2 linked regions of the Caenorhabditis elegans genome follow. The protein of the gene in region 1 purifies or fractionates together with the protein of each later gene. This does not show direct contact. Each region holds a gene or a part of one and is shown in the gene's direction. Other genes may lie near its edges. The genes, in order: perm-4 and cbd-1.

Region 1 (9,760 bases):
CCTAAGTCTAAAAATAAACCAAAGCTATAGCTCTGACCCGCACTAACCGATGAGCTTCCAGCGGCACGGGACGAGATGGAGCAGCAGTTCTGGCACGACTCCTGCGAGTAGATGGCGGTGTTTCTGCAAGCCTGACGCTCGAACGGGCGTGGTCTCTGGATGAAGGATGGTCCGTAGGCTGGAGCATCGTATTGCTGGTTGTTGTTGTAGTTGGAATCTTGAGCTGGGGTTCCGTAGGCTTGTCTCTTCACGCGGTCGCCTCTGTGGTGACCGCGATGGTGCTCTAGAAGTTTTAAGGTGAACGGGACCCGTAGGAAAGTTGTTAAAACTAACTTCTAAGACCGACAAGTGGGAAGGAAGCGTGGACAGAGCAATAGTTGACGTCAAAGTTTGGGAACTGGTAGACTGGGTATTGGGGTTGGTTGTAGGATGGTCCGTTGTCGTAGCCACCGCCATAGTGAGCTCCAGCTGGGGCGTCCTTGACGTCGGATTGCTGGAAAATTGGACATAAAATTTTATTCGCTCATACTTACTGATAATTTTTTTCTAGTACTAAATTCTAAACTAGTCTAGATTCAAAGGTAGGTATTGATTACGTTCCTATACTAATAGTAAGCTACCTAGAACAAGTACTTCAAATGAATGATGGTAAATATTAAAAGCTAAACAATTATTACACTTTCAGTATTTAACAGTTACTACTTAATCTCAAAAGTATTTAATTAGTCCTAATATACCTCCCTGAATACTATTCAATATACATGCCTACTTATAGTATTACCTTTGTATCGGATTAAATAATGTGCCATATTCGTAACGTGTTTAATTTGAATTAGACCTACATCCTATTTAAGGTACATATATTTAAGGTCTAGCTACATCTAGCCACAGTAACTCCAGGAGCAGAACCTAGGTAAAAGAAACTAGTTAAATGTATACTAACCTTCCTAATAAGTTGAATTCTATTAAATATATCTACGCTTAATCAACATAGCATTTCATCAAGAAATCTTATTACCTCTAAATTTTCTGTCCGATTCAAGTTACACCTTAGCAAGTAATCTTATTTAGACTTACTATTTAGGATATCACAATATAGTATAGGTAACCCTTACGTGATACATACTAATGCACACGTGATACGGAATAAACCTAATCTTAATAACTTGAATACAACTAATTATACCTACTGACAATACATCAAGATTTAGTCAAATATCTATAACAGCTTTACTTTTTAACGTGTCTAAATCAAGTTATCTATCAAGCTACAGTAACCTTACAGTCCGTTTTTCCTAGTTCCAACAGAACCAACAGTAACGCTTACCTTCTCAGGAGCCTCGGTGCTCACAGCGCAGGTGACAGCGGCGCAAAGTGCCAGAGACGCGACGATCCAAGTGGTGGAAAACATGATGATGATCGGAGCCAAGATGCTTCGCCGCTTTTATACTTGAGATCCGCCAGAGATATGGAGGCGGGAACTCGGCATTGTAGTTTGAGGGGAAAACGTTAGGCGTTGGATAAAAAACAAAAAGGTTTGGAGCGCAAAAATGTTTGCTACGGAACCTGGAATTAAATCTCACAGCTGTGGTAACTGAGCCAACAAGTCAAAAGGCTCCAATACATGGTGAATCACTCGGACTTGATCAACTGGAAAAATGTTCCTTAACAGTTTTTCTACAGTGTTCTAGTTCAAAATGTGTTGATTTTCTCAAAATACACTTTGCTAAAAGATACACAAATTAGTTCTTTGAACCCCGCTGGATCTCAGACACATGTTGCAACACATCCTTAGGTCACTTTTTTTTCGACCGACTATTTTTTTCAGCTTTTCCATTTTCTTTTTTCTTCGCTGCTCAATCCATCACACATTCCGCTGGGCTCTTTTTCCTGCCGGCCGCAGCCGCCGCCCACCTGATTGCAACATGTTATATGAGAAATGGGATGATTGAGTGGGCTTGGAATTTCAGACATTTCAGATGATTTCATATGGAGCAACTCGTGATGGGTGAAAGTGCAATTGAATGAGAATGGAGAAATGTGCAAATACCTGGAATTTGGGCATGAAATAGATAATTAACGTATTATGTGAAAAATTTGTCTGACAAGGAAAGTAAGTTAATCTAGTCCCGGACTTCGAATCGAGACGTATGTCATTTGAAAGCTTATGGTTAGCCTAGATCACCGCAAAAATTTCAGATTTTTGGAAAAAAATAAAAATTTCCAAAAAGCTTCCACACTGTTTGTTTGACCCTAAAGACCCCCAAAAACAATTTTTAACCGCTCTAGCCACTTTTAAGGCCATTTACTTGACCTAGAATTCAGCAAAAAAATGCACTGGAGCACTTTCAGATGGCGCTTTCAGGGGTTCAGAGTTGAGTTCCGCCGCTGAAATTTTTTTGGTGATCTAGTCTAAACATAAGCTTTCAAAGGCATATGTCCTGATTCAAAGTCCGGGACTAGATTGACTTCCTTTCCTTGTGAATTGAAAGCTTTGGAGTGATTTATAGTGTTCCTAATGGATTTCTCTATGGATTTGCCAATAAAATTTCAACAATTTACATATCAATGAGCAAATTGCAAACACGTAAAATATGCATTACATAGTTTTACAAAGTTTTGTAATAAATTGATATTTATAAAAATACATAAGAGGGATACGAGCTGCTGAACAAAAATGCTGATTATGGTGCATTGAGAGTAGTTTTATTGTAAAATTTTGGCAGTAGGTTTTACATGCATTATTTATGCTTCAGATTCCCTTCTTTTTGGTGCATCGATGAAAAATTTACTGATCAACTTTAACAGTTCATATCTTCGTAGCCTTTGGTTTTATCAAAAAATTATCAACTGGCAAGTTATTTATTATTACTTTTTCTATAACTGTCTAGTTACAATTTTTTTGATATCTTGAAAATTAGCCGAGATATGGTGCAAATCTATCGATCATCTTTTCAATGTTTCCTCTTTTTTCCCCGTTCCATCAACTCAGACATTTCTACTTTCATCTTCCTCAAGCTTTTCCTCTTGATTTTTTTTTCTGTAGGCGGAGCCCATCCCATGTTCCCCCCGAACTATAAAAGCATGGCTCCGCCGACAAATCCATCATTCGATCGCTTTTCAGAAATGAAAACCGTTCTTCTTCTCACAGTCGCCTCGCTGGCCGCCGTCCTCGGTGCAAAGGTATATGGTTTTTTTGGATTTCCGCAATTTTAGGATAATCTGAAACATTTTCTGCAGCCAACACCCACCGAAGAGGTCAAGTCAGAGGCCGCTGCTGGTCGCTACGGCGGTCGTCCATCGTATGGAGGAGGAGGTTATGGAAATGGAGGAGGATATGGATACCCAGCATTCGGACCAGGATACTGGCAGCCACTTATTCAAGATCGTGAGTTCGTGAAAATTCAAATTTTAAGAGCTATAGTAATTTGGCAATAGAGCGCATTTGCGTAGACCTAGTTATGATTATACTTGTTTGAACCGCAATAGCCAACTTATTTCAAAAATGTAACATTTTTTGGGAATCATCAAAAAATTGACTTATTCATAGGTAGTTTTGTCAATTTTCAAATTTTCGAAAAATTTTGAAAAATTCATAAATTTCTCAGTTTTCGAGATTTTTCAATAATTTTTAAATCAAAATTAAGCTAGTTCTTCAAATTTTGTTGCAAAAATACTGTTTTTTTTTTTCAAAAAATCTGTAGAACTTAGGCCAATTTATCAGAATTAGAATTTTTGAAAATGTTTGAAAACCTGTAACTTTTCCAGTTTTTGAGATAATTGTTTGATTTTTATGTCAAATTAAAGATTAATTTTTTTTAAATTTTTTGGCAAAATTAACTGCGTTACTGTAGTATTTATTTAGATTAAATTTAATCTAGTTGGTGCAGAATTTCAAAAAAGCTACAATTTTCAAAAAATTTCATTGAGTTTAATGCCAAATTGAAGCTTAAATTTTATATTTTGAAAGAAATTGAAATTCGGTAGAAAACACACTTTTCCTAGGTTACGATAGCTTCCATTATTTTTTATACAAAATTCAAAAATTTACCCTTAAAATGACACAAAAACCATCCCAAAATCTCAAAAATTGAGAAAGTTATAGATTTTCAAAAATTTTTGAAATTTTGGACTTTTTTTTTTGGAAGAGTCAAATTTTATTGCTATTAAATTTTTTCGACAATTTTTATCGAAAACTAATTTTTCTTGAAAATTCAAAAATTTACCCTCAAAATACCACAAAAACCATCCCAATATCTCGAAAATTGAGAAAGTTATATAATAGATTTTTGAACATTTTCGAAAATTCATAACTTTTTTAGTTTTCGAGATTTTTTATTGAATTTATTGTAAAATTAGAGCCAATTTTTTAAAATTCTGTAGAACAAACTGATTTGAGTCAGGAATTTTTTTTGTCAAATTAACTAAAATGGTTTTTTTCTAAAATTTTCGAAAATCTACAACTTTTCCAGTTTTTGAGATATTTTATCAGTTTTTAAGTTAAATTGAAGCTGAAATTTTGAATTTTAAGATGAAAAATATTTACAGGCTTCGTATGCGACCTCGACGCCTCCGTGCTCCTCGTCGTCGACTCTGTCCGCCGCCATCATCGCCACCCACAGCCATACTACGGTGGAGCCCCATCCGTCCCAGCTAATCGTGCCGTTCGTGTAAAGTGCTCCGAAGTTGCTACCCATGATGAAGATTCCTGTAACTTCTGCTGCCAACAGACCGCCCGTCGTGACACTTCCCTTCCCAACGATCAACTCTTCGGATTCTTGGCTATTACCAAGGATGATGATGATGAGACATTCAAGAGATCCAAGAGAGGAGCTGATGATGATGATGATAATGATTCGGATTCTGATGAGAAGGACGGAAAACATGGACGTGGAAGATTCCATAAGGTTGACTCTACCTACTTGTCAGAGGCCAACTGGGAGCCAAAGAAATATCATAAGAATGTCAAGTGCGTGTGCTGTGCTCCAAGATCCTCTCCAGCTGCTCAGGTGGGGAATATTTTAAGGACTATTTTTTTTTGTTGGGAATTCAGTGATTTTGCTTTAATCTGGCTCAAAAATTACAAAAAAAATGTTGAAAAATGAGGAAGTTATAAATTTTCAAAAAACCGCGGAATTTCGATATTTGAAGATTTTGGCCTACGAGTCTAAAAGTCTAGTTTTGAAGACAGTAAATTTTTTGAAAATTTAAAATTAATCCTTTTTAAATAATTTCAAAATTTACTTTAAATTTGGCAAAAAAATCACTGAAAAATCTCATACACTGAAAAAGTTATAGATTTTCAAATTTCTGTCAGAATTAACAAAACTTTTAATTTTGGACCAATGACTTTCTTTTTGGTTTTTACCACAATTTAGTTTTTATATAACTAAAACAATTTCACTACAACATTTAACAATTCAGCTTTAATTTGGCCCAAAAATCTCTAGAAAATCTTGAAAACTAAGAAAGTTGAGAATGTTCAAAAAATCTCCGAATTTCGAAGTTTGAAGCCCTAAATTTAAGCCATATGACGAGTTCAAGCGTCTAGTTTTGAAGAAAATATGGTTTTTCAGCGTTCAGACTAGTTTTTTCCATAAAAATTGAAACTTCCGCTTTAATTTAACACTAAATTCACTAAAAAATCTCAAAAACTGAAAAAGTTTTGGATTTTTGAAAAATTTTAGAAAATTCCAAAGTTTGAGAATTTGGCATTAGGCCTACTTTTTTCAGCTATTTTACTGAATACATCACTCCAAACATGAATTTTTGTAAAATTTTAAAATTTATATTCAATTTGCCACAAAACTTATCCAAAAGTCTCAAAAACTAAGAATGCTATGGATTTTCGAAAAATCTCAAAATTTTGAAATTCGAAAAATAAGGAATTTGAGAGGAATTTTTCATGTTTTTGAACCTTTCTAAGACGATATTAAATTAAAAATTATTTTTTCCTAAAAAATATAAAAGTTTAGCTTCAATTTGACACAAAAATCACCAAAAACTCTCAAAAACTGAAAAAGCTACGAATTTTCCAAAAATTTTGAAATTCTCTCCAAAAATCTTCTCAAACTGAAAATTTCATCGGGATTTTATTGAATTTTGCAAAAAAAAAATCGATAATTTAGCCTATGTACCACTGAGTTTTAAAGAAAATTTCCTAAGAAATTTTTTTTTCAATTTCTGAAAACCCCTAACTTTGCCAGTTTTTGATATTTTTCAATGTTTTTTAGGTTATTTTGAAGCTCATATTTCAAAACTTTGAGGGAAAATTTATTATGCAATTCAATTTTCTTCCAGAACCCATCCTACAACAACAATGCTGCTCAATCCCCACCAACTGGCTACAACAACAACGCCAACGCCTTCGTCCAGCCACAACCAGTAGCTGCTCAGTCCCCACCAATGTCAGCCTCCCAGCCACTCGTTGACCTCTGGCAATCCGAGAATACTGCTCCATCAACATCATGGGGAGCTGCTCCAGCTGCTCCATCAACATCATGGGGAGCTGCTCCAGCTGCTCCACCAACCTGGGGAGGTGCTCCAACTGCTGCTCCAACTTGGGGAGCCGCCAATGATGCTCCACCAGCGGCCACGCCGGCTCCAGTTGCTGCTTCCAATGCTTATTAATTCGATTTTCTTACAAGTGACCTTTTTGTTTACATTTTTCAAATATAATTCGATTTTGCACAACCCAATAAATATCTTCTCCTGAAATTTTGTGCTACATAGCTATTTTGGAATAAACTACCAGTTTTTGAAGTTTCCGGCAACTTTGGAAGTTGCCAAATTTGTCATTCTTAAAATTTAGCTCTTCAAATTTAACTTTTGTAAAAGTTTTTGATAATTTTAGCAACTTAGACACTTGTTGAACTTTCAAATCATTCGCAGTCTCGCAACATACTATCAAATATTTTCCCACCTCTGGTCTAGATCATTTTGTTAAAACTCCTTTTTCTCAGAAAAAATTGACATTTTCCCACGTACTTTTCTACACTTTTTTGCTGTTTTCCAGACTTTAGAAAACCTCATGTATACATAGAAGCTTCACGAAAACCAGTGACCAGATTCCAAAAAGTTTTTGAGCCTGCTAGGGCTTCCCTGTAGGCGCCTGAACGCCTGCCGCGCCCGCCTTGCGGCGACCTCTGCCTGCCTTGCACCACGACCCGAATAGTGTCGGTCGCGGCCAAAGAACCACCTTTCGCACTTTGTGGAATAAACACCAAGCATTTAGTGCAGAAATTGAGCGAGGGGCAGGCGGAGATCAGGTAGCAGGCATTTTAACGCCTACATAAAAGCCCTATGGTCCTCGCACTTTCTAATGACAAAAAAATCTTTCACTCAAAAGTCCCGGCATATATGGTAGTCGGCGTTTTTGTATTTTTAGAGAAATCTAGAAATCAAAGAAAAACTTTTTTGGCTTAAAAATCTATGCAGAAATTAAAGCTACCTAATCATTAAATCTTGCAAACATTTTTTGAAATAACTTTGATTTTTCATTTTTTTTTTCAAAAAAGTTAAATTTCCAAATATTGATGCGTCACGTACACTAAAAAATCAAAAGATAATGCGCAACGTAGCAAAAAATGACTAGTAAAATTAATTTCCGCTCTGTTGGAAAGCTATGAGCTCACTCTGCAGCTCCCGAATAAATTGAAAAAACAAATATTTCAAAAATTTTGAGATTGTTTTTTGCAGCGGGTTTTTTCCGAAAAAAAGTGATTTCCGGGGGTTCTCAAATTAACTTTTTTTTCCTCCGAAAAATTACAATAACAAATTCAAATTTTTCATTTTCTAGCATTTTTTTAAGATTTTTTTTGGATTACTGTAGCTTCTACCGTACTCCCAGGAATTATTTTTTTATGACAAATAATTATAGCTTTTAGTTTTCGGAAGTACACTATATTATACGAGAACTCTGTAGTAGTGGAAAGTGCGGTAAAAATATATATTGTTTTCTCAATTTTCCAGAACTCAATCTGTTTTCATTCCTAGAAAACATTATCAACTCTATTTCCTCGTTTATTTTTGCATTCAACAACATAACTTCTCACGGTTTTAGCTTGATTTTCAAACCAGTTGGTTACTGTGGCTCCGGAAATACGCAAACACCGTCTACCGTACTCCAATGCACCGAATTTGACGGGACTTTAAGCTAGCGCTCTGGCATTTCTGGAATAAACTAATTGAGGGATGGAGAATTCGAAATGACTATTCAAAAATTTCTTTAAAAAATTTTAAGTCTAGAATATTTCGATGTTAGCAAATTTTCTGTGCTCGAACTCCATTTCTCAAAATTTTCAATAAAAAATTTGAATTCCCTGCTGTTTTTGTGTAACAGTCCTGTGTTACTATTGAAGAAAGTCGGCTCTCGGCGAGTGCACACCACATTTTTGGCAAAAATCCTAATTTTTCTCTCTTGCGCCGAGAGCCGAGAGCTACACAACACTGGTATAAAATATTTTTGAAAACCGGAAAATTTCAGATTTCACTATTTTTCAGTACTAAAAGCGAAATTCTACGATAAATTTGAACTTTTCAATAGAGTTCGTCAGAAAAAAAGCAAACTTTATTTTCACGCGTCATATACTATCTCTCTGTATTTTATATTTAAATTTCACCTGTTTTTATTTCAGTGATTTTCTGGAGCTTAACTCTCCCGAAAAAATGGGTTGGGGGCAGAGAGATCAGCTTCTGAATTGAGAAAATTAGATTTTTCCAAACATTTTTTTGGGTGGTTTCTGATTAGATTTATAATTCTTCAATATAGAACTCTGTCCTGTGTTCTGTGATTTTCAGAAAATAGAGTTTTGATTGATGAAATTAGTTATATTTCTTCAAATTTAATTTTCACAATTTATATTTTAAGTCGATTTTTTTAAAAGCAGAAGCTTGATCTTTCGTTCATATATTCAATTCTGAAAACTTAGGAAGTTATAAGAATTTTCAAACAAAATCTGAGCCTAAGCCTAAGCCTAATCCTAAGCTTAAATCTATGGCTAAGCCTAAGCCTACCCATAAGCCTAAGCCTATATGCTCTGTAAACCTGCTATAAGAATAAAAGCCAAAAGACAATTCCAAAAATTGTAACTTTTTTGAAATGTTTTGTTTTTTTTTCTACACTCTTGATAAAAAGCATTTTCAAATTTGAAAACGCAAAAACTTCACCCAAAAGTACAGAAAGTAGATCAAAACCAACAATTTCAAAATTTTTAAATTAAAAAACCCCCAATTTCAAAACTTTTTTTACTTCTTAAAATATTTTTTCACGTAGTTTTTAGTTAAAATTAATACTTTCGTAACATCATAAGTTTTATACATTTTTCTGCGAACTTTTTACTATTTTCAGAATTTCTTTTCTTTCTTTCGTGAAAACCCCTATTAGTTCTTCCGCCTCACATCATCTGTCTGATTCTCCCCGAAACAAAAAATTCGGCGAAATTTTTTTTCTTCCATTTTCCCACGAACACGCCTCTTTTCACGTGGGGACTTGACTAATGAATACAGTCTCGTTAAAAAAATTCAGACAAATTTCAGATCAAAAAATGTCCAACTCAAGTAGTTTGGCTCCGGTGATTTCTGAAAATTCGGAGGTTTTGCAAGAAATCACCAGAGAGGATGTGCTTTTAGCAGCTGCAATTATTTTCTTTGTAAGTGTAGATTTACGTGGTGCTTTTGTAGATTTACGGGAAGCTTGTGTAGATTTACGGAGAGCGATTGTGCAGATTGTCTGGGAGCTTGTGTAGATTTACGGAGAGAT
Region 2 (10,736 bases), about 10 Mb from region 1:
TTTAAGAGAAATTCTTGATGAAACACGAAAAAATCACTTTTTTCGCGTGTAGTGTCGCTTTTTTTGCACACGTTTAGAGGTCATAGTATAAAATGTTTTTGATAAGGTAACTGTATATCTGGGATTGATAAAAATTTTTAGTTTTTGCAATTTCATCAATTTTGAACTGAGTTATGATGATTTGAAAATCGGACTCGAAAAATCCCGGAATTTCGAAAATTGCGTTGAAAACATGTTTAACGTTCGTATTTTTGTTTTATTTTACATTATCAAATGTAAATTTTAACGTAGATTCCGTTTTTCTAAATAGTTTTCTCATTATCCAACCGGAAAGTTACGAAAAAAGCATAAATTGACGATTTTTCAATGAAATTGTGCGCAACCCCTTGGTGTGCAAATTAGTGATTTTTGAGATTCTTTCGGCTGTAAGTCGGTCAGTTTGGCACTTTTTGGGGTAAATTTTTCGAAAAACGTATTTTTCAGGAAATTTACTCTTCAAAAATATAATTTTTTTTACAAAAAAGTCAAAAATAACTTCAGAAATCGCAAATTTCTGCATTTTCTCAAAAAAATGACGTTTTTGCTGGAAAAATAAAAAATTTTCCACTACCGAATGGGATTTTATGTTAAATTCGTAATTAGTACATAAATACCGAATGCAAGCTGAAAGCACAGTCCTCTACGATCATTTTCAACGAATTTAGTTTATTTAATTTTTGACCTCGAAATTTCAATTTTCCTCTTTTCCTGGACCAGTTTTCTGTTGGATAATGAATTTTATGTCCTAATTCTTATTATTTTTGCTATGAGAAGCGAGACAAACTAAAATTTTTTGGTCATGAGTTCCTCGAGCCCCGTTCCTGAAGTTGTAGGCTTCAGGCCATGCTTAGGAAGCTCAAAAGTTCATTCTTCACCAATTTCTAAAATTTCAAATGCTATCATATTCTCCTTTTAACGCTGAGTTCAAGTATATACTTTTAATTTTTCAATTCCTACTATGAACAAAGTTACGACGCGTCGAAGTTTGAAAAGTCTTTGCCCGGCCCCCTCCTTCCCCTCATCCGCCAGTGGTAGTTGTATTATTCAACTCACCTGGGTACCCAACTCTTCCCAAAAATCAACATATTTGAATTATCAGTCATATAGTGGAGATATTCTTCTACTCGACACATCGTCACCCCACCATAAACCCCTCAAACATGTCGTCTTTGGCTGTCCACGTGTACATGTACATACAATTGCAATTGTTTTGAATAATTCTTGCCTGTGGCAACCTTTTTGACTATCCCTACAGTATATTTGATTACTTACATATTTTTGTTCTATTATAGCAGGCCGAAGGCCTGCTATACTGGTTCAGGAAGCCACGCAGGCCGTAGGCCTGCGGTGCGAGACCCAAAACATTGCCAATCGCACGTTCGAGGCGAAGCCGAGAACCCGCGCCAGCTAGCGGACTCGCCCCAACCCAACCTCTACTAGCGGGCCCCATAGGGCCCGCTAGTCAAAAACGAGATTTGTTATAAAATTTCAATACCGTTTCAATTTCCACATTATGGTGCCATTGTTGGGTCATTGCATCGTAGGACTTCCAGAATGTTGCCAACCGTCCACCTAATGCTATTGATGAGCCAATTAAGGGAGCACGGTGCCATGCAGGAACAAATTGATCGGAGATCCTAGCGGCAAGTACATCGGCTCCTGGTTGCGGAGATCCAAGACTAGTCAATGAGGATATTTGAACAGGATGTTGGAAATATTGAATAGCAAATTGTGATGGCTCCTCTTCATTCCATTTAACATTTCGGATCCAGTCTCCTTGAAGACTTCCAACACCTCCAAGCACCTCAGATGTTTCGTGATTCCATATAACCACTTGTCCATCACAGCCAGATGAAATTACAAGACGATCATCAGCTTTGTTCCTGTATTAATATTTTTCGTAATTTTTATATAGTTTTTTGTACAAAAATAAATTGTCTAGCTCAATTTTTATTATATAATCAACAAACTTTTAAATAAAAACTTACCAGTCAACACTCGTAATTCCCATATTATGATGTCTGTATTCTTTAACTGGTGTTGAAGTGAATCTCGAATCCCATTTCTGAATAACAGAGGCGTGTTGAGATTGGCTGGAAACTATAAGTTGTGAGGCGTCCGAAGGATTCCAAGAGAGCGAAGACCAATCACAGCCAGGAATCTGCAAATAGAACTTTAATAGCCACCAGGCAATTGAAAATCCAACCTCTGCGAATTCTAACACCGGCGATCCATTTCTTCTCAAATCCCAAAAACTGACTCTTCTGGACGATATGGAAGCAAACACAGACTCGTTCTTCAAGTTCCAGCGAAGAAGTTTCACTTGATCTGGGAAATTTGGCGAACCGGGAGAGAATGGTGTTTTCAGATTTGCGCAATCCCAGAGAAGAATTTGTCCTGAGCCTCCACCAGAAGCCATCCATCTTAAAAATTATTTTTTTGAATTGTTCTTGTAAACTTTCATTTCATACCTGCCGTCCCTGGAAACATCAATAGTGAGAACATGCCCATGATGATCTCTTCGAGAAAGAAGAACTTCTAGTGATTGATTCTTGATAAATTTATCAGCATCAAAAAATACCACAGTTCCGTCCTCTGTACCGCCAGCAATTATTCCGTTCGGATGTGCATCGGAACACAGAGAAGTCCAGGCTAATTCATTGAATCTAAAATTATGAAATACACTATACCGCTTCACATTATAATTCTCACCGATAATTAGTGGCATGCGACACATTCGGGGCCAAATTCGATTTTTCATATATCTCACTTGCTGGCAAAAAATCGATCTTTGGTTCGATTGATGTTGCAGTCGGGTCAAAAAACTGAGCGAAATCAGCAACAATTAAGCCCTGAAAATTTGATTTATTTCAATTATAGACGAAGATTGATTAATTACCTTTTTCTGAATTCCACGTGGACTCCAGACAAATACGCCGGAACGTGAGTAGAGCTTCGAGCTCATCGATCGTGTTCCGTTTAATGAGCAATTGTTGTAACTTTAGCTGTAACGTTGACGTGGATGAATGAGAGCAGCTGAACAGGGAGTAAGTGCGCTCCTTTGCACTCGAACAAATAGGAGGAAGTGAAAGTTTTTAAAAGAGTAGTCTTGATGTAATTCAGACAGCTAGAAACACCGATATCGAACGGAAAAGAAAAATGGCAGAATGAATGTTCCTTAGAATGTTCCGCATATAAAAATTGGGACTCCCAATTTGGGAGGAGTAATTCAAAATATTTCAATATCAAAAAGTGAACTCATCGCACCAATTTTCGAAAAAATAGAAGCTTCTTATTTAAAAATGTTTAAGAAAAATATCAAAAAGAAAATAAAACACTAATTGTTATATGTTTAAGAAATCAGACAATGTTTTTTCAAGTTATGTCGCGCGGACAGAGAAAACAGAGAATACACAAATTCTACTAATAGCTATTGAAAGAAGCGAGGAAAAAAGTTCATTAAAAACCTTAATTTCGCTATTCCCGAAGGAAAACGAAACGATGATTTTAAAAATCAAAAAAAAAATTGATTTTCCGTGGATCTGCAAAACGACGTGAAGTGTCTTTGCGTACTTTTGCATACCGTAGTCAAGTAAGCCGCTAATGTCCAAACTTTCTATTTAAAGTTATAATTATTTAAACCGACTATGAATTTTTAGAAGTTAATTTTTTTGTTTCAGAAAATTAACAAAAAATTGGATGCAATTAAAATTAAATCAACCAAAAAAACATATTTTGGAAAATGGAAACGGTTGGTATTAAAGGATCATGTATGTTGTTAGTTGGGTCTCGCCACGATTGCTAACTAATACCGTACTCTGTTATTTTTGGGCCGCACAATTCTTTAGTTTTTCTTAATTTTGAAAATATCTTGAATTTTCTCATAATATTTTGTTTGTTTTCATTAATTTTATGATCTAAAATTAATTTTTAAAGAATAAAATTGAGCAAATGTATGCCAATACCCATTTCAGACATGTAAAAGTGCAGTAGATCAAAAATTATTTGACCCCAGTTTTAGGCTCGAGCGGGAAATTTTTTGGATTGAGTTTTCAACCTCGAATGTTCCATTTCATTCCTTCTTCATTAGCTCTAATTTTTATTAGTTTCTCCTGAAATGGCGACCATTTTGAACCTTTTCTGTTTTTATTTCGTAAAACTTTTAAGTTAAAATATTCATCCTCTAACTGTTATCAATTTCAGGCGATGGGGCCACAGCTAGCCACCGTCTCGCTGCTTCTACTAACATTTTGTGAGTTTCTGCCTCTTTCTTTTCAATCAAATATTTTTATTTTCCAGTTTCGAATTCTATTCAATACCCGCACTCACCAGCAGCCACAGAATGCCCTGCATACTTCAACGGAAACATAGCAGGAAATGCATGCAGTCGGGAGGTAAACCAGTAGCCCTCCGTTTCAAATATAATTCTTTATTTTCAGTACTCGATATGTGTGAACGGAGTCAGGCAAGCAGCCACCTGCAGCGATGATTCTGTCTTCTACGAAGACGAATGTGTGCCAGTCGACGAATCTCCAGAATGTCGAGTAGATGAAAACACTGAAGAAGATGACACCCCATATGCGGAATTCGACTGCACATCGAAACAGGATGGCATCTACTCCATTGGCTGCTCTAACCAGTTTATCAGCTGCGTCGCCGGCGGAGCCTACATGGCGAAATGTCCTGATAGCTTGGTCTTTAACGAAAGAACCCAAGATTGTCGTGAATCTTGCGACGAAGTGAAACAGGACACAACTACTGCACCACAAGTCTACGAAGATGGTGAAGAAGGATACGGAGAAGCTTCCGGTGAGATTGCTGGAGATTACGAACGTCAACCGTCGAACGAGCAGCCGGATTCAATTGACTTCGATTGCAACGGTCTGGAAGACGGAAACTACGCCGACGGTTGCAATGACGTATTCTACTCATGCAGCAACAACATGGTGTTCCAGAGATACTGTCCACCGGGAACAGTTTTCAATATCAATCAACGTAAGTGCACGTGATCGAGTATTATGTTAATTTCTTCGTTTTTCAGAGTCCTGCGATTTCCAATGCACGACCGATGATCCAACGACCACTGTATCGTACTCAACTTCTACAATCACAACACCGCAAGAAGATGACAGTGAATACAGCTCAACAACTTCCGCTGATGTCATCTCAACAACAACAACACCTTCAATTGATGCTATTGAGACAACTACGACTGGATTTGATGCCGTGACAACGACAACAACGACGCAAACTCCGTTCGTTTGTCAGGAGGGACAAGTCAACTCCTTCGGGATGTGTTCGTCACGATTCAATCGTTGTCAGAACAACTCGGTGCGTTCAAAGCAATGTCCAGTCAACACTCTCTTCGAGTCCTCTCTCGTTATGTGCGTGTTCGATTTGCCACAATGTCAACCAATCACTGTTCCCGCCGCTCCTGCGTACAACTCTTACGGGCCTCCATCGGATACCATCGTCAGTCCATTTGATGAGAACGTTCGTCTGAAACCAAAATTCGACAGAAGGCGTAAGTATCATCATGGGAAGCCGAGTTACGGACCGGTAAATGGAAACTCGTATCTTGAGAATCCATTCTTCATCCCTCGACACCGTGGAGGCAGCCACAGAGATCATCGCCGCTATGGTTATGGACGTAAGTTAGGATTAGTCTTTTCTTTGTGATAATTTTGATACTTCAGCGGCCATTGATTCTCCATTCTCAACCGCTTTCCGTGGTCGTGCTGCACTTAGCGATCAATTCAAAGACTACCGCCGTGCAAGAATGGGAAAGATCCAAGGAGATGCCAGGAAGGTTGATGGAAACAAACGTTTCTTGATTGATGATGAGTTCGAAGGGCCAAACGCGAAGTTTGTTGAATCTAACATTGAGCAAGTATTCCCGAAGAATCGTCATTCAAAAAAACAGTTGGGACCACATGAGGATCCAGACGGCTATGACGACGAGAAAACGTTCGACGCAAAAGATTTGTTCGGAGCCACGAGAAGGAAGCGTTCAGCCTACTACGGAACTGAACAATCTGTATATGGACAGCAGTCTGCACAAATATCTGCTCGACAAGCTCAAGTAAACAAGGACTGTCAACAATACACTACTCCCACTTTCCTTACATTCGGCGACTGTTTCGATCAGTTCATTTTCTGCTCTGGAAACGGAATCAATCGTATGGCAGCTTGTCCAATTGGAGAAACATTCGACAAAACTCTTCGTTCTTGCTCAGAAACGTGCGGTGTTTCAACAACAATAGTCGCTGTCACAATCGGAACACAGACTTCAGACGATTTATCTGCACCTTCTGAGTACATTGAGAATGACGGCGTCACTACTCAATCAACATGGAATGATCAACCATCAACCACTCAGGCTCCAAATTCATACGAATCTTACACCACCCAATACTCTTCAAATGACGTGCCATCGACTTCAGCTGCTCCCATTGGGGATCGTTGTTCATTGGACGCATCAGGCCTTTTCTCACTTGGATGCTCGCAAAAATACATTCAATGTTCTAATGGAGCAGCAATTGTGCGTCGTTGTGGAGAATCGTTGTATTTCAATGAGGCCACACAAGAGTGTACTTACAGAGATGAAGTTCCAGAGTGTAAGCTTTAGTCTAAGCTGAGGTTTATATCAACTTGATAATTTTCAGGCGGATCCCAAGGATCTACAAGTTCACCTGTTATCACTACACCAGGCCAGGATCAGTCATCGAACTACTACGGAATCCCATCGGATGATGTCCCATCCACCACACAAACGCCGGTTGGAGATCGATGCGCTTATGTTGCTTCTGGGCTTTTTGATCTAGGTTGCTCGCAAAAGTACATCCAGTGCTCGGATAGTGCTGCATCTGTGAGAGAATGTGAAGGGTCTCTGTATTTCGATGAACGAAGCCAAAGTTGCCGTTTCAGAGACGAAGTGTTCAAATGTGAGTTTTAACTTTGTTTGAAAATATTATGAAAGTTACAATTTCAGGCCAAACAGCAGACGTAAGTTCTTCGTCGACTGTTCCGTATTTGGACTTCACAACTACTCCAGCATCGCCATCAGAGGATGAGCCAACAACGTATGAACCTTCCGTGGCACCGTACATTCCGTCGGTTACTGTCAACCCAGTTGATACCTGCACAAGTCTCTCAGATGGAACTCATGGAACGGGATGCTCATCGTTTTACTTCGTCTGTTCACATGGACGCCTTATCAGTTCGGGTAACTGCCAGCTGGGTGAAGGTTACGATCCATCAGTACAAGGTTGCCGGACTTTCAGTGAAATTCCAGCTCGAGCTTGTGATGAGCAGGAAGTTACGACAGGTATCAAATTTCAATATTTCTTAAGCTTCAATCCTCTAATTATTTCAGATGCTGGTCTTGTTCAGTTAATGCCGTACAAGACATTAGAAGAGGTTCTTACGACAACTGAGGCTGCTACTACAGTTGCAAATGACGGGCCAACGGACACCTACATCACTGGCTCCACTAAATATTCTACAACAGACAGCGGTGAATACACTATTCCATACGGAGATGAAACCACGTCTACTAGATCCTATGACCGAGCCGATAATGACAGCGAAGACGAAGAAGAGGATGACGTGGAGCACGACCAAAAATGCACCGTTGGATCACGTACCCCCGTTGGATTCTGCGTTCGCACATACCTGGAATGTACCGACGCCGGAAACGTTGAGAAATTGTGCAGGATTGGGAAACTCTTCGATTCTCACTCTAACAGATGCGTTCCTAGAATCGGTTGTGGAAAGGAGGCTATTCGTGATGCTATCAAGGATGTGAGTTGATTATTAAGCTAGTATCTCACAAATTACTGAATTTCAGATGATTGCAACAACGCCCGCTCCTGCTCAACCAAAGCAGTTTGAAGGACGATGTGCACATGTGGACGGGGAAGCTGTCTTTTCTATTGGTGTCTGCAGCAGCAAATATCTCAGATGCTCGTACGGTGCTTCAAAACTTCAACAATGTTCCGAAGATCGTGTTTTTTCAAATGACAAGTTGGAGTGTATCGTTAGAGAATCTGTATCCGCGTGTACTGTTCCGAAAAATCCGTCCATCAAGAAGTACTACACCAGTAATGATCAGTCCGCTTTTTGTGATGGAAAGGAAGATGGCCTTTACAGAAACGAAAGAGATTGTTCGGCAATTCTTCAGGTATTTTTAACGAATGTTTTCAAACTTAAACGAAATTTTTCAGTGCTTCGGAGGAGAACTGTTCGAACATCCATCATGTCAATCCAGCCTTGCATTCAATCAATTGACCGGCAAATGCGACTACCCACAAAAAGTCAGTGGATGCGAGAACCATGGTCAAACCAATGGAGAATGCTCCGAACATGGATCTTTCATCGCTGATGCCAATAACTGCGAAGTTTTCTATCGATGCGTGTGGGGACGAAAGGTTGTGATGACGTGCCCATCGGGAACCGTGTTCAATCCATTGTTGTCCGTTTGCGATTGGCCAAGCGCAGTACCATCTTGTTCTGGCCAAGCGTCTGACAGCAACTCTTCATACGGCAGTTCGACGTACAATGATGATAAATCGGGATATTGATAAGTTGTTCTAAACACCCCCATTCCGCAAACTAATCTAATCTTTACATGTACTAACTTTATTGCATTTGATCTCTTGAGCTAATCAGCTATTATTCAGCATCATTCCCTTCCCATTTTTCTCTACCCCATACACCCAAGTTTTCATGTTGTCATAATAATCTGATTTATTTGCATGCTCAACGATACCTTGAAGTTTAAAATTTTGTTAAATAAATCGTGCGAGCCCCAACTGTTCCAAAATAAAATGCAATCCTGTACCGATTCGAACCCCACAAAAGTTATAATAGATGTTTCCGTAAAAAATGCCGCTGTAAATGTGAAAGGGACGCAATTCATCTGAATGATTCTCTCGTATCAATCAATGATTGTTTGATATTCTTCTGAACAGTGTTCTACAAAAATGAAAGTAAACATTTTATAAATTTTACAGAAATTTGTAGTATCATTGAAAAGAAAACAATTGCTGAAAATAGAAGTTGACAAAATTGCTATTTGTTTCAGAGAGTTTTAGACGTATATTAATTTCAAGAAAATAATTTGAAGTTGAAAACTGAAAAGCTTGTGTGATTTGAAATGCAATTTCCAATTTTAGTTATTTTCCAGAAATCCCCTGAAAAATTTTCCTTGTAAACTTTCCATTTTGTGATCATTCAATCCATCTTCTTCACTTTCTTTATTCAACTTGCACCCAAGGGGGCACATTCTTTTGACTCACACCAATCTTTTGACTTTTTCTAACTTTTTTCTCTCAAAATTGTTTCCGGTTTTGTCGTTCCATTTGGATGTCTCTATGGAGTGTCGTTCATTGTACTTTTTTGTTTTTCAAATAATACTTCAACATTTTTTGATAAAAAATATTAACAAAGTTTCCGATGTACATTGCGAATGTTTCAAGTGCCAAAACATCAAACATATCACAAATTGTATCTTCGTCGCAATCAATCTTATTGAAGAAAATAGAAAGCTCTGGATGATGACCTATTTCAAGAACATGATCCAAAAATTGTCTCACTCCAAGTCCTGGATTGGTCCAAGTTTGTCCTTCACTAGTCTTCAGAATGAATTCACGTTTACCAGGTTGTTCAAGGACTTGGTTTATATCAAATGAGAAGAACGCGGACGCAACAAAGTTATTCCTATCGGCCCGAATATAAAATCGTATATTGTCTTCTAAACCCACCAGAACATCTCTCATTTTTATATTCAAATTCTCAACATGATTTTTTGCCGTTTGAGAAATGAGAGCGAATCCAATTCTGAAACAAGAAACTTTTTTTTTGCCTCCGGATAGAAATGATGTTAATTCTCATATGTAGAATAAAATGTATCTATTCTCTCGTGCTCTCTCACCCCACCAGTTGTCGATGGCCATGATCGAGTGCACTCGATAAAAAGAAACGGAGAGGCAGTATAGAACTGACCTCTCACAGGTGCAAGACTAATTTTCAAAAGCCCCATAACTTCGGAACAGTTACCAAATTTTATGGAAAACTTTTAAACCAATACAACCGTTTAAACCAATACATTATTTTCTAATACTTTATCCTCTATTAGAACAATTTTTGAGAAGTTTATCCAAAAATTACAAATTCGTTGAAGTTTCCTCATAGTCAAAAAAAAGGTGCAAGACTATTAGAGACTGCAATACTAATAGAAGAAATACGGTAGTTCCACTTTAATATTGGCAGCTATAATTATTTTACAAACGGCGTTTCTGCGACACAATAATATTTGGTTATTAGTGTGTCGTCAGGCGTATTTTGTCGAGCAACGTCTAATGATGCGTGACGTCATAACAAACTGGTGTCCCCATTTTTATAGGTCAAAGTGTCACACAAAAAACGGTGGAGGGTTTAAGAAGTTTTGGAAAACGGATAAACACAAAATTTCAGAAACTTACAATTCGGTTAAAGGCATTCTTCGAAGAACGTAATTCAGAGATTTCTCAGGTAGATTGAGCAGAGGAAAGATGCTCATTGTGTCAGAATAGGAGAACAGTGACTGTGTTACAATATTGAATGGAAGAGGGAGACTTATGATCTAACCCCATTATTATCCTATTTTCAGATCTTTCTTGCTTTTTCTCTTATCCTCTGCTTCTCTCGTAATGCCC

What was found.
Region 2: the proteins of perm-4 (region 1) and cbd-1 purify together in Caenorhabditis elegans (affinity purification with mass spectrometry, with the first as the bait; one study listed by BioGRID). This does not show direct contact.

What each region holds. Positions count from the first base shown.
Region 1 is NC_003282.8:1,118,452-1,128,211, reverse strand, and holds perm-4 (PERMeable eggshell), read left to right. Parts: upstream 1-3,104; 5' UTR 3,105-3,126; coding exon 3,127-3,183; intron 3,184-3,240; coding exon 3,241-3,388; intron 3,389-4,548; coding exon 4,549-5,009; intron 5,010-6,300; coding exon 6,301-6,630; 3' UTR 6,631-6,718; downstream 6,719-9,760. Other genes in the region: perm-2 (uncharacterized protein), read right to left, coding at 48-283, 334-493, 1,328-1,411; srx-13 (G-protein coupled receptors family 1 profile domain-containing protein), read left to right, coding at 9,546-9,650.
Region 2 is NC_003282.8:11,368,749-11,379,484, forward strand, and holds cbd-1 (Chitin-binding domain protein cbd-1), read left to right. Parts: upstream 1-4,242; 5' UTR 4,243-4,245; coding exon 4,246-4,291; intron 4,292-4,338; coding exon 4,339-4,433; intron 4,434-4,478; coding exon 4,479-5,034; intron 5,035-5,080; coding exon 5,081-5,689; intron 5,690-5,735; coding exon 5,736-6,656; intron 6,657-6,704; coding exon 6,705-6,983; intron 6,984-7,030; coding exon 7,031-7,366; intron 7,367-7,414; coding exon 7,415-7,842; intron 7,843-7,888; coding exon 7,889-8,221; intron 8,222-8,264; coding exon 8,265-8,621; 3' UTR 8,622-8,879; downstream 8,880-10,736. Other genes in the region: sec-31 (WD_REPEATS_REGION domain-containing protein), read right to left, coding at 1,535-1,922, 2,028-2,200, 2,246-2,462, 2,511-2,705, 2,752-2,891, 2,939-3,004; fbxb-76 (F-box domain-containing protein), read right to left, coding at 9,426-9,879, 10,524-10,600. UniProt on the Caenorhabditis elegans protein: In unfertilized oocytes, maintains egg-1 and egg-2 at the plasma membrane together with chitin synthase chs-1 and kinase mbk-2. Essential for the formation of a continuous and cohesive chitin layer following fertilization.